Arabidopsis thaliana: one gene and its partner. The protein of the gene in region 1 interacts with the protein of each later gene in a biochemical or structural test. Each region holds a gene or a part of one and is shown in the gene's direction. Other genes may lie near its edges.

What was found.
Region 2: the proteins of HSPRO2 (region 1) and SNF4 form a complex in vitro, tested with the Arabidopsis thaliana proteins (one study listed by BioGRID).

What each region holds. Positions count from the first base shown.
Region 1 is NC_003071.7:16,699,865-16,704,057, reverse strand, and holds HSPRO2 (ortholog of sugar beet HS1 PRO-1 2), read left to right. Parts: upstream 1-1,721; 5' UTR 1,722-2,101; coding exon 2,102-3,409; 3' UTR 3,410-3,568; downstream 3,569-4,193. Other genes in the region: EIF2 (eukaryotic translation initiation factor 2), read left to right, coding at 4,129-4,193. UniProt on the Arabidopsis thaliana protein: Positive regulator of basal resistance.
Region 2 is NC_003070.9:2,899,139-2,906,745, reverse strand, and holds SNF4 (sucrose nonfermenting-like protein), read left to right. Parts: upstream 1-1,883; 5' UTR 1,884-2,533; coding exon 2,534-2,658; intron 2,659-2,805; coding exon 2,806-2,893; intron 2,894-3,326; coding exon 3,327-3,503; intron 3,504-3,784; coding exon 3,785-3,907; intron 3,908-4,034; coding exon 4,035-4,094; intron 4,095-4,304; coding exon 4,305-4,394; intron 4,395-4,574; coding exon 4,575-4,709; intron 4,710-4,873; coding exon 4,874-5,018; intron 5,019-5,306; coding exon 5,307-5,480; intron 5,481-5,867; coding exon 5,868-5,931; intron 5,932-6,018; coding exon 6,019-6,088; intron 6,089-6,280; coding exon 6,281-6,398; intron 6,399-6,502; coding exon 6,503-6,597; 3' UTR 6,598-6,970; downstream 6,971-7,607. Other genes in the region: AT1G09010 (glycoside hydrolase family 2 protein), read left to right, coding at 7,459-7,607.

The sequences.
Region 1 (4,193 bases):
CTTTGCATACTTTTCATATATATATATTTTTTTTAAAACGTAATAGTATAGGATGTATATTAAATGATATGAATAGTGGAATGATTCAGTAACCAAAACAATATAGCTAAAGAAAGTGTATTTATTAACATATATAAAAAGTTGGTTTTAGGGTAAGACTAATGCCTCGAATTTACTAGTTGTAACATTTTATTCTTTTTAAAGAGAATATGTGTCTCGAATTTACTAGGCGGGTGTAATTGGTTGTAGAAAAACGTTATTGTTAAAGATGGCTTTGATCAGTGCAAAGTGCAAACAAGTGACGTACGTAAAATAGATGTAAACAATACCAATTAAAACATAAGTAGTTATTTGAAAAGAAAACTCTTAACATAAAGAAGATTATAGACCACTAATTTGTATTTCAAACTATATAATCATTTGTCCTTTGTTATAATCTACTTGTCTAATGTCTAATATGTAATGGAAGAAATGGTCTGTCTTCACTCGAACCGTTTCCAACTGATAGTATTAATTAAATTCAATATCCAATGTACCGATAAATTAACAGAAACATCCATGAAAGTCTTGGTCACAAAAAATATATTTCATGCACTTAAAAGAGATTTGGTGAAGAAATCTCAAAACAGTCTTATTACAATCAAAATTTATCTATCGTATATAATAAATAAACAAAAAAATCGGTGAGATTAGAATATTGAACTGGAAAAGAAAAAAGAAAAACCAAAGTCAAAGGAAACGACAGCTTCCAAGTAAAACACTATTAGAAGATTAAGTGAGACCAAACTCCAACCTTCCTCACATATTTTGGATAAGCTTCGCATCTATATTCCTCCTACTTCCATGTGCCATTCCTTTTTCAATTCATAACACGGCACCGTCTAAATGCTTATCCACACTACAATAAAAAATAGTCATTTTTATTATATACGCGTTTCAAATACTGATAACACGATACAGTACTAATTTAGGGGACACTATATTTGTGAAAACTGCGGACTATACACTTTTCTAGTATCCAAATTTAATTTTGAGCAATAATTTTATCGTAACGTATATTTGTCTTATAATGCTCCTACTTGCAAGTATTATCCTAATTGTTTGACCTTATAGATAGAGCTTTTATAACTTTTGTAGGGAAACATCAAACATGTATTAAAATCTCTAGTGTTGCGAATTTAAGTTTATGCTTTCTTGAGTTTCTTTAATTGCCCGTCATTACGCTACTAAAATTTCACAATTTTGTCCGTTTTATACATAAATATACATAAACAAATACGTGATTTTTCTCTCTTTTTCTATTCAATTCATTATAGAAAATAAATGACGTTTTTCATATTTGCAACTAAAACATTGTTTTCTTTCAGTTTTATGTGGTACATGACACCTGTTATGTTTTACGATTGTTGATATATATTCAAAACACCATGTGCATGATTAGTTGAACTTGTAGCTGTAGATCGACAACTATCAAAATTATTATATATTTGCTTCGATCAAAAACTATCTACAGCTTGTAAATATTGCTCATAAGTGACAACCCATAACGCATGACTGACTTTCAAAAATGTATTTGCAGAAAATTTTATATTCTTATCGATCAACCCCTAAATGTTATACTACATCGCATATATCATCAAATAAAACATTTCTATATATGTATTAACATGTTATGAACATGACTGTGTGTTTTAACTTTAACTTTTATTAAAAGATAATATCTTACCAAAAACGAGAAAATATTCGATATTTCCTTAGAAATCAGATTACTGAACATTCGACTAATCATCAGGCATTTACCTTTCATAGAAAACAGTTCAAAAAGCAATATAAAGCCAAAAAACGAAAAAAAGATTATCCTGAAATTAATCCACAGTACTGGTTTTTTTTTTTTTTAAAAAGGAGACCGCGTTTCTACGCTGACTTTCAAATCAGTCGCGTCGGTATTATTCCACACGCCTTTTTTCTCGTCCCCATCCTCTATCCACATTTCTCTCTATATATACTCTCCTCGTATCCTAAACTCATCCTCAAATTCAAAATTTAACACACAAACACAAACACACACACCAAAAAAAACACAGACCTTAAAAAAATAAAAATGGTTGATATGGATTGGAAGAGGAAGATGGTATCATCAGATTTACCAAACTCACCTAAGCTTTCTTCAAAGCTTCACGTAACTATTCCATCACCGTTCAAAATCGTCCCTGTTTCATCTCCGATCTCATGTTCAGCACCTGCTCTTTGCTCTGCTTACGAGCTTTACCTTCGTCTCCCTGAGCTAAGAAAGCTCTGGTCATCTCGTGATTTTCCTCAATGGACATCAGAGCCGATTCTCAAACCAGCTCTTCAAGCTTTGGAGATCAGTTTCAGATTAGTTTTCGCCGTTTGTTCTGATACTAGACCGTACATCAACCACCGTGAATGGAACCGGAGGCTAGATTCTCTCATCACGAAGCAGATCCAGCTTGTAGCAGCGATCTGCGAAGATGAAGAAGAAGAAGGTATATCAGCGGAGGCTCCGGTCGGCGGTGGACGGAGTTCGTTGAGTTTGTTACCGCAGCTAGCTACGTGGAGGAGATCAGAGGCTTTGGGGAAGAAGATCTTATATACGATCGATAACGAGATGAGTCGGTGTAAGTACACGCTCGGACTCGGTGAACAAAACATCGCCGGAAAACCAAATCTCCGGTACGATGCGATTTGCCGACCAAACGAGATCTATAGCCTCAAGGATAATCCATACGCAGATCATATCGATAATCACGAGAATCAAACTCTCTATATCATTCACCAGATCCTCGAATCGTGGATCTACGCATCTGGAAATCTTCTGAATCGAATCGTCTCAAGTATCGAAGAAGAGAAATTCGGAAAAGCTTCAAACGATGTTTACTTGCTGGAGAAGATCTGGAAAATTTTAGCGGAGATTGAAGATCTTCATATGTTGATGGATCCGGAAGATTTTTTGAAATTGAAGAAACAGTTACAGATCAAATCGACGGGTAAAAACGATGCGTTTTGTTTCAGATCTAAAGGATTAGTGGAGATGATGAAGATGTCGAAAGATCTGAGACAGAAAGTACCGGCGGTCTTGGCGGTTGAGGTAGATCCAACCGGAGGACCAAGATTACAAGAGGCGGCGATGAAGCTTTACGCGAGGAAGACAGAGTGCGATAAGATTCATTTGCTTCAGGGGATGCAAGCGGTGGAAGCGGCGGCGAAGAGTTTCTTCTTTGGGTATAGGCAGTTAGTGGCGGCTATGATGGGAAGTGCGGAGATGAACGCGACGGCGAGTCAAGAGTCGTGTGACTCACTGAGTCAGATATTTATGGAGCCGACGTATTTCCCGAGCCTTGACGCGGCAAAGACGTTTCTGGGAGAGTTTTGGAGTCATTTGGGATGATTAAATTTTAATTTCTGCTGGTATAATTATTTAATATAAATTTAAATTGGTGGTTTGGTTTAATTTAGTTTGTAAGATAGTGAAATTTTTGGAACATTTGACGATCCATATTTGAATACAAATTCATTTTTATATGATTTATGAGATTTTTTAACAAACGATAACATTTACGAATATCGTAATCCATACTTTGAATTATCCACAAGTCGTAATTCAAATATGGGTGGTCTACTAACGAGTAACGACTAATCTATATGCTCTGACTAATCGTCAACAAATCACCACCTATCCTTCGTAGATGTTAGTGTATGAGAAAAACACAATTTCACACCTATCCTTTGTAGATGTTAAATTATGAGAAAAACACAATTTCACTTTCACAGTGTATAATATTCAAAATTCAATGATAAACACACACACAAAAACGTTATAAAAAACCCAAACCGACGATGAGTAACCAAACCGATGTATAAAACGACATTGCCTTTCTCTGTTTTTTGTGTTCAACAAATTTCATTAAGAGAAAGAAGGGAAGTGTTTGAATGAGTATTCATTCATTAGTCCAAGAAAAACATTTAATGGGCCTGTTTGTAGGCCCACTGGCACATAACCTATCTTCTGTATCATTGATGCCTTCTCCTACCTTCCTCTGACGCTCACATCGGAAACCCTAAATCTCCACTCTCTCGCGCCTTTTACCCCTTCTCAGAATCTTAACCATGGCGGCGACGAGCGAGCACACCATCTTGCAATTTGTGTCTCCGTCATCAACGGCGTCCGCTAC
Region 2 (7,607 bases), on another chromosome or scaffold:
ACAAAACTGTGTAATCTTCCAAACCTAATTTCAATGATATTATACTTCTGGTGACGTGAACGTTCTCGTAAAACAAAAAACAAAAATCATCGAAATTATACTTACGGACAAAGAGTTATGGACTATCTATTTTGGAAGGAGAAAAAGAGAACCATCAGAAATTGCCTACAAGAGAACCATCAATGATAAACTCAGATTTTGACTTTTGTACCCGAAAGAGAAAGAACCATCAATGAAACTGCTTGCGCGTTAGTCTCCCAATATTTTTCCCAGCTTTGATGTTTCCTTAAATTCCTTTTTGGGCAAGGTTACAAAGAACTAGGCTATGCTATATTGTATAATCTAAGCTTTTCACTTTGATTGATTTCATATCAAAAAAAAAAAGAAAGAAAGAAGGAGCATATGTGATGTAATTGGAGAGTTGTTTAGACTAAGAGAAAAATGTATTCAGTGGAGGCTAAAGAAATTCTTCTCGAAATCTGATGCAAAACCCATAACTGAAAGAAAAGAAGAAGAAAGAACTCTTTGAATTAGTTCCCGAGCCAAAGATCATATACATAACCAGAATTACGACGAAGGAGTTACGGATGTTTAGGACGAGAGCCAAAGATGTTCTAACAATATGTAACCAAATGAAGACTTTCCAAATATTAAAAAGAGCCCTTATGAGATAAAAAAAAAAAACTTTGTTGGCCTGTTTTTCAATGCCCAAATATAGCGATCAAGATTTTGAGATGAAAGTTATGACCATTAAAGGAGTATATATATCCAATTGTCCATACTAGCCAGCGACCGTGAATGCTGCCCAATAACCAACAAGCCAAAATGACCATTGTTTACAAATGTCTTTCTCATTTGCTGTTTTCCGACAGATAGAGTAAGTGTATATATAGAATAGTACTGAAAGAGAGGGCCGGGGGACTTATATACGTTTTGAGGAAAAAGATAAACAACATTAGAGTAAGAGCGAGATATATACACTTATATAAAGTCATGTCTATAAGAAAGTTCAAATCCAACTTAAAAATATATACTCACAACAAATAAAAGTTACATCACTTCGATTATTTAGAGTTTATAAAACTAATTAGAAACCGAACTCTTTTTTTCTTCAAGGTCGTGTTTTGGTTTTAGGCTTTTAGCCCTAATTTACAGGTCTTTCTAAGGCTAAATCTACTATAAAATGTAATTGCATGCCTAGGGTTCAAACATGAAGTCTCCTCTCCCTCAAATAATGTCAACTTGGAAGACAACACGATTGTCTCCCTGTATTACATGTCTACCGAGAATAGATGTACAATGTAATTTCATGGATTATGTTTAACCCGATAATAAATTGGTGTGGGATGTAATGATTTATTTTCTTTAATTTAAGAAATTATAAGAGTTGACACAATAAAAATTAGAGAAAAAAAAAACATGGCTTTTCTTTTTACTTTATTTATTTACCCTGCTTCAAAACACAAGAGAATAAGAGAAAAGTGTATTTTGAAACGTTTTTGAATGTTAGTTTGGTTTTGTTTGATTTATAGTACTGTTTAACATCAGAAAAGACAAATGAGTTTAAAAAAATAATACCAAAAAAAGAATTTACTAGATACAATTTTAAAGTGGAAATATTTTTAATAACTTGGATCCTCGTCTAATTTATTCATAACATTTATGTGATATATTATATATATAGGAAATGATTTATTAGATAGTTGACTAAAACTATATATTAGATGCTATTATTTGCATAATTCATATAGTTATTTATTATGAAAAAAGAGAAGAATAATCAGTTATGTAAAAGTAGAATTTTTTTTTTTTTTTTAAATGTTATCGGAAAAACTGTATACAGTAATAAAAAAGAGAAAAAAAAAAAAAACCATATCTTTGTCGATGGATTAAAAACAACATTTTCATTACGCAGCGCTTCTTCGCCCTCAGATTCTTCTTCACCTTGAAAGACCATTAACATCATTCCTTGCCCAGATCCAAACAATGCCATCTCCACTCTCTCTATTTAGGGTTCTCTCCAACTTTTCAAATCCCTAATTCTTGCTCCCTCCCTTCAATCAATTCCGATCATCATCGAGGTCTCTCTACTCCCCGAATTTAAAGATCAGAGCCGCGACTTCCTCTGCCTTCTTTTCCTCGGAATTTTTCAGCTACGTTTTCCAGGTGGTGTGTATTGTCAATCAGTTGACCTTTGCTTTTGTAGCCAGATCGTTCGTGCTTTGAGTTTAGGGCTCTTTTACAAGGTTTCGTGTTGGTGGAATTTCTCTACCTAGGTTTGGGGGAAGAGTTCAGTAATTTCGTTGTAGATCGTGATTTGGGCTTTTAGGGTTTCGGTTTACTGGTTGCTGGAATTTATGGTAGCGTTATTGAATTCGGACTCTCTGCATGTGTAAGCGTTGAAGTTTGAAGTTTCACCGGGTTTTGTTTCTTCTGCTGAAGAGTCGAGATTATTTTACGCATTAAGAATCGATTCAGAAGGTTTTTAGGAATTAGTTTCTGTGGATTGTAACTATATAACTACTGGGAGGGGATGTTTGGTTCTACATTGGATAGCAGCCGTGGAAACAGCGCTGCCTCAGGGCAGCTTCTTACTCCGACACGCTTCGTGTGGCCTTATGGAGGTAGAAGAGTCTTCCTAAGCGGATCTTTCACCAGGTGAGATGACTGAGCTTGAACTAGGATAGTTTACTTTATATTTCAGTTAAGCTATTTATCGGGGTTTGTGTAGAGTATGTGCTCTGTATAGTATCTATCGGGGTTTTGCAGTCCATGGACTGATTTCTGAAATGGGCATTTGAACAGGTGGACAGAGCATGTGCCAATGTCACCGCTCGAGGGCTGCCCTACTGTTTTTCAAGTCATTTGCAACTTGACGCCAGGATATCATCAGGTTAATAATCTTGTACTCGACCTGTATCATGGCAAATTCTTTGTTAATTAATCCCTGCAGAAGCATTTATGTCCTTGTAGTGATTTAGCGATGTCCATAATTGTGCTTCATTTAGTCTCTGGATACTTAACCTATGCAATGAGAATCTTATATACCTCTGTCATATTTGTATGACTGTGGCTGAAAATTGCAAATTTCCTTGCTAATTGATCAAAATTTGACTTTATACATCACCATCCACATAACAAAAGTTGGGGTCTTCATGCTGTGTGATACCTAAATCACTTCTTTTAATAAAGGCTACAGTGTGTGTATAGAGATTCATATATTTTGGCAGTTGGATGTACTATATATAACAAGATTTTAATTATTACAATGTGAGATGCTTAAGAAGCCACTAATGTTACATTTATGTTATTTCATTCTCATGCAGTATAAGTTTTTTGTTGATGGGGAATGGCGGCACGATGAGCACCAACCATTTGTAAGCGGAAATGGTGGAGTAGTGAATACAATATTTATAACTGGGCCAGATATGGTTCCTGCTGGTTTTAGCCCAGAGACACTGGGCCGGTCGAATATGGATGTGGATGATGTCTTCCTGCGAACGGTAAGGAATCTGACCTTTCCTTTTCCAAAATGCAGTGTTTATTCTCGCTGCTTGATGGTTCAGGTTTCCCGAGTTGCTTCCAGTTTGGTTTCTTTAATTTTGATCCGTGGTTGGTATCCTTCAGATTATTTTTAACTGTTTGTCATTAGTTCAAGTATAATTGATTTTAGACCATTTTATCTTAATGTATAAAGCAGGATTCCTTAAGTTCCATTAAATTGTCTCTGAGACTACATTCAAATTGAGTTTCTGACTGCTTTCACATGGTGATTATATTGTAGGCTGACCCGTCCCAGGAAGCTGTTCCTAGGATGTCGGGGGTTGATTTGGAGCTTTCTCGTCACCGCATATCGGTTTTATTGTCAACCCGCACTGCATATGAGCTGCTCCCAGAATCGGGCAAGGTTTGGTTTCTTTTTCTTTTTGCTTGATCATTGATAATTTCTGTCTTCATGTCCTATAGATTATCAGTTAAGAATAACCTTTGGCTTCTTACTCGGAAATTGTCTAAGGTGATTGGAAATTTTACAGGTTATTGCATTGGATGTTAATTTGCCAGTGAAGCAAGCATTCCATATACTCTATGAGCAGGTTTACTTTATTTGCCAATTACCCTTGTGTCAGCTTCTGTTCTTGTTAGGATGTTCATCTCTCTGTCTCTCACCGTCATATAAACATTCTAATATTGTTGCATCCAGACCCGGAAAGGGAAGGAAGTGAAACTTAAGTGAACAACATTCGTCTAATTATACTTCGAGATTGTTTGGCTTTCTGGTTTTTGCTAATTCCAGATGCTTTCAGGGAATCCCTTTGGCTCCTCTTTGGGACTTTGGAAAAGGCCAATTTGTTGGAGTTCTTGGTCCACTAGACTTCATTCTAATACTGAGAGAGGTTGGCTTCTATTAAAACTGTTCTTTGCTAGAGCATTCCATCGAGTTACTATTGTATATTCTTAGAATTTCCAAGACGGAAGTCTGGATATCTCATAAATCACATAGTTTTAAATGTTTTACTAGCTTCTCAGTATGAAATTTCACTCTTGAGTATAATAGCAAATTTGTAAAATTGCAGCTTGGAACTCATGGATCAAACTTGACAGAGGAAGAGCTTGAGACGCACACAATAGCAGCCTGGAAAGAGGGGAAGGCTCATATTAGCCGGCAATATGATGGAAGTGGGAGACCATATCCTAGGCCACTTGTTCAGGTGAGATTTTCACAGTTGATTTGTATCGCTGTTACTACTAACTTTCTTCTGTTTGCGTAATCTCTGAACATAGCCTTATCCTAGAACTTTCTATTGCATGTTATATTGAAAAGAGCTAGTAGTATTTCTCTCTTGCTATTAATGGTTTTATATATGGCTATCAGGTTGGACCCTATGATAATCTGAAAGACGTTGCCCTGAAAATTTTGCAAAACAAGGTGGCAGCTGTTCCGGTTATATATTCTTCTTTGCAGGATGGTTCATATCCGCAGTTACTGCATCTTGCTTCGCTATCAGGCATATTAAAATGTAAGGTCCCTTCATTTGTGAATAAGACACTGATAAGCGCGCCAATTTGGCATTTCTCACTTTTTAATTCATGACGTGCATATGATTCTGCTATTTCCAAAATTTTCCCACTTCTTCATTTCTCCAAATTCTGTGAAGGGATGGGATCTTTAGGAGGGAGGGAAATTAGAAACTAAAGTTGCAATTGACTTTACCAAACTTTTTACACAGTTTTCCCTGTTAATAATTCCTTTCGAAATTTATGCCTTTATCAGACACTTAAGCTCTAAATTAAGCATAATCTTCCAGGTATATGCAGATACTTTAGACATTCGTCTAGCTCTTTACCTATCCTTCAGCAACCCATTTGTTCAATTCCCCTGGGTACGTGGGTCCCTAGAATCGGAGAATCAAGTAGCAAACCTCTCGCTACATTGAGACCTCACGCCTCTTTGGGTTCTGCGCTCGCATTATTAGTTCAAGGTAATCCTTTTTCTTATCTTGTTGCAGCAACATCTTATTCAAAGCTCATCTGCAACTCAGACTATCAACCTCTACATTACAATCAGATTTTCAGTTTTAAATATTTTGTCTAGATGGTAATATAATCAAGTAGCTGAACACATGGGTATACTCAAGTCAATGCAGACCAACAAACCAACTTTAGATGTTACGACCACTTTTATTATTTTTATACAGATGTAATTGCTGCAACATGAGTAAACTAACGAGGTTTAAAAACATAGAAACATTTTTGTCAATCTTAAAGCAGATATATTTATAGAATTTCTCGTGATCTTTTCCCTGGTTCCTCATAGATGGAAATGAATGAATGAGTCATGCTTAATTTATGTTTCCTGGTTATTACAGCTGAAGTCAGTTCAATTCCCGTAGTGGATGACAACGACTCGCTTATTGACATATACTCTCGAAGGTAAACCTCTATCCATCAATCGACATGATGTCTTATGCATTCCATCTTTGACGTCCTTGTGTTCTGATGATATTTGTAATTGGCCAGTGATATAACTGCTCTGGCTAAAGACAAGGCATACGCACAGATTCATCTTGATGACATGACAGTTCACCAGGTAAACCTCTCATCAGAAACCAAGATCCATCACATGTCTCATCAAATTACGAGTTTTACTTAAATGTAACCTGCCTATCTATCATGGAAATTGCCTCGTTTCTGATTTATTTGAACATACATCTTTACAAGAATGAAAGAAGAGATGAAACGTTATAATAAAGTGGAGGATAATGTGTTTGTGGGTTTTCAGGCGCTACAGTTGGGGCAAGATGCGAGCCCGCCTTATGGAATCTTCAACGGGCAGAGATGTCACATGTGCTTGCGCTCAGACTCTCTTGTGAAAGTGATGGAGCGGTTGGCGAATCCAGGTACACACTATCTCCTATATACAATCTTCAGCTTTGTTGCTTGACACAGGAACATCAGATGAGATGTAACTGGGGTTTGGGTTTGTGTATATAAAACACAACAGGTGTAAGGAGGCTGGTGATAGTGGAAGCAGGGAGCAAACGTGTTGAAGGTATCATTTCACTGAGCGATGTTTTCCAATTCCTGCTCGGTCTTTGACTCCCACAGCAAAACAACCTCCCCAACCTCTTTTTCTCATTTCCCCTCAATCAAAACTACCCAACAATTTGCTTCTTTTTTTTTTTTTTTTTTTTTCTTCTTGCAAGGAATTTGTAAATTTGCTACGAACCTCTTTCATCATTGTTTTCTTATTATTTTTGTTGTTTTAGTTGAACGGGTTTCCATTCTTGTGAAGATATTGGCTACCGGAATCTTTTACTAGTAGCTTCCCTCAGCTTTTTCTTCCCTCTTTTTTTTTCCATTTTTTTTTGGTTTTGAGTTTTTCACTTCATCGACTCGAAAAGCAACACAGCATGAGAAGGCCGTAGAAGTGTAGGACAATGCACTGGTTGACAAAGATGAATTGTCACCAGCGAGAATAAGCCTTATGGTTGAAGTTTGCAAGTAATGATTAATACAATTACAATCATAACGAATCATAACCTTAAGTACAATAACAAGTAAAAAAGTACAATGACAAGTAATATTCAGTAATGGTTAATCGAGTGATTTGATCATAGCATTATCGATTTCTTTCGGATTTTTCAATAGCTCTTAAAATATATCAATAAAAGTAATACAAAATTCAATCAAATCTAGTGACACTAAAAAAAAATAAAAAAATCTAATGTCATTTAAAAAATATTTGAGCAAAAAAAATAAAATCTAATGTCATTAAAAATAAGTGTTAAATAATTGATGACATAATAAGTGATAGAGAAAAATGTATTTACTCTATTTACTTATTTAGGCTTATCCAGACAATAAACGTTTTCGTTTTTCCAGTCCAACAAGTTTCTTCATCAACTCTCTCAACTGTTTTCGACATAAACATTCCAGAAGCTGAGATCAGATACTAAAATGGCGGAGATCGGGAAGACGGTGTTAGATTTCGGCTGGATAGCGGCGAGATCCACGGAGGTCGATGTCAACGGCGTTCAGCTCACTACCACCAATCCTCCGGCCATCAGTTCCGAATCTCGGTGGATGGAAGCCGCCGTACCTGGAAC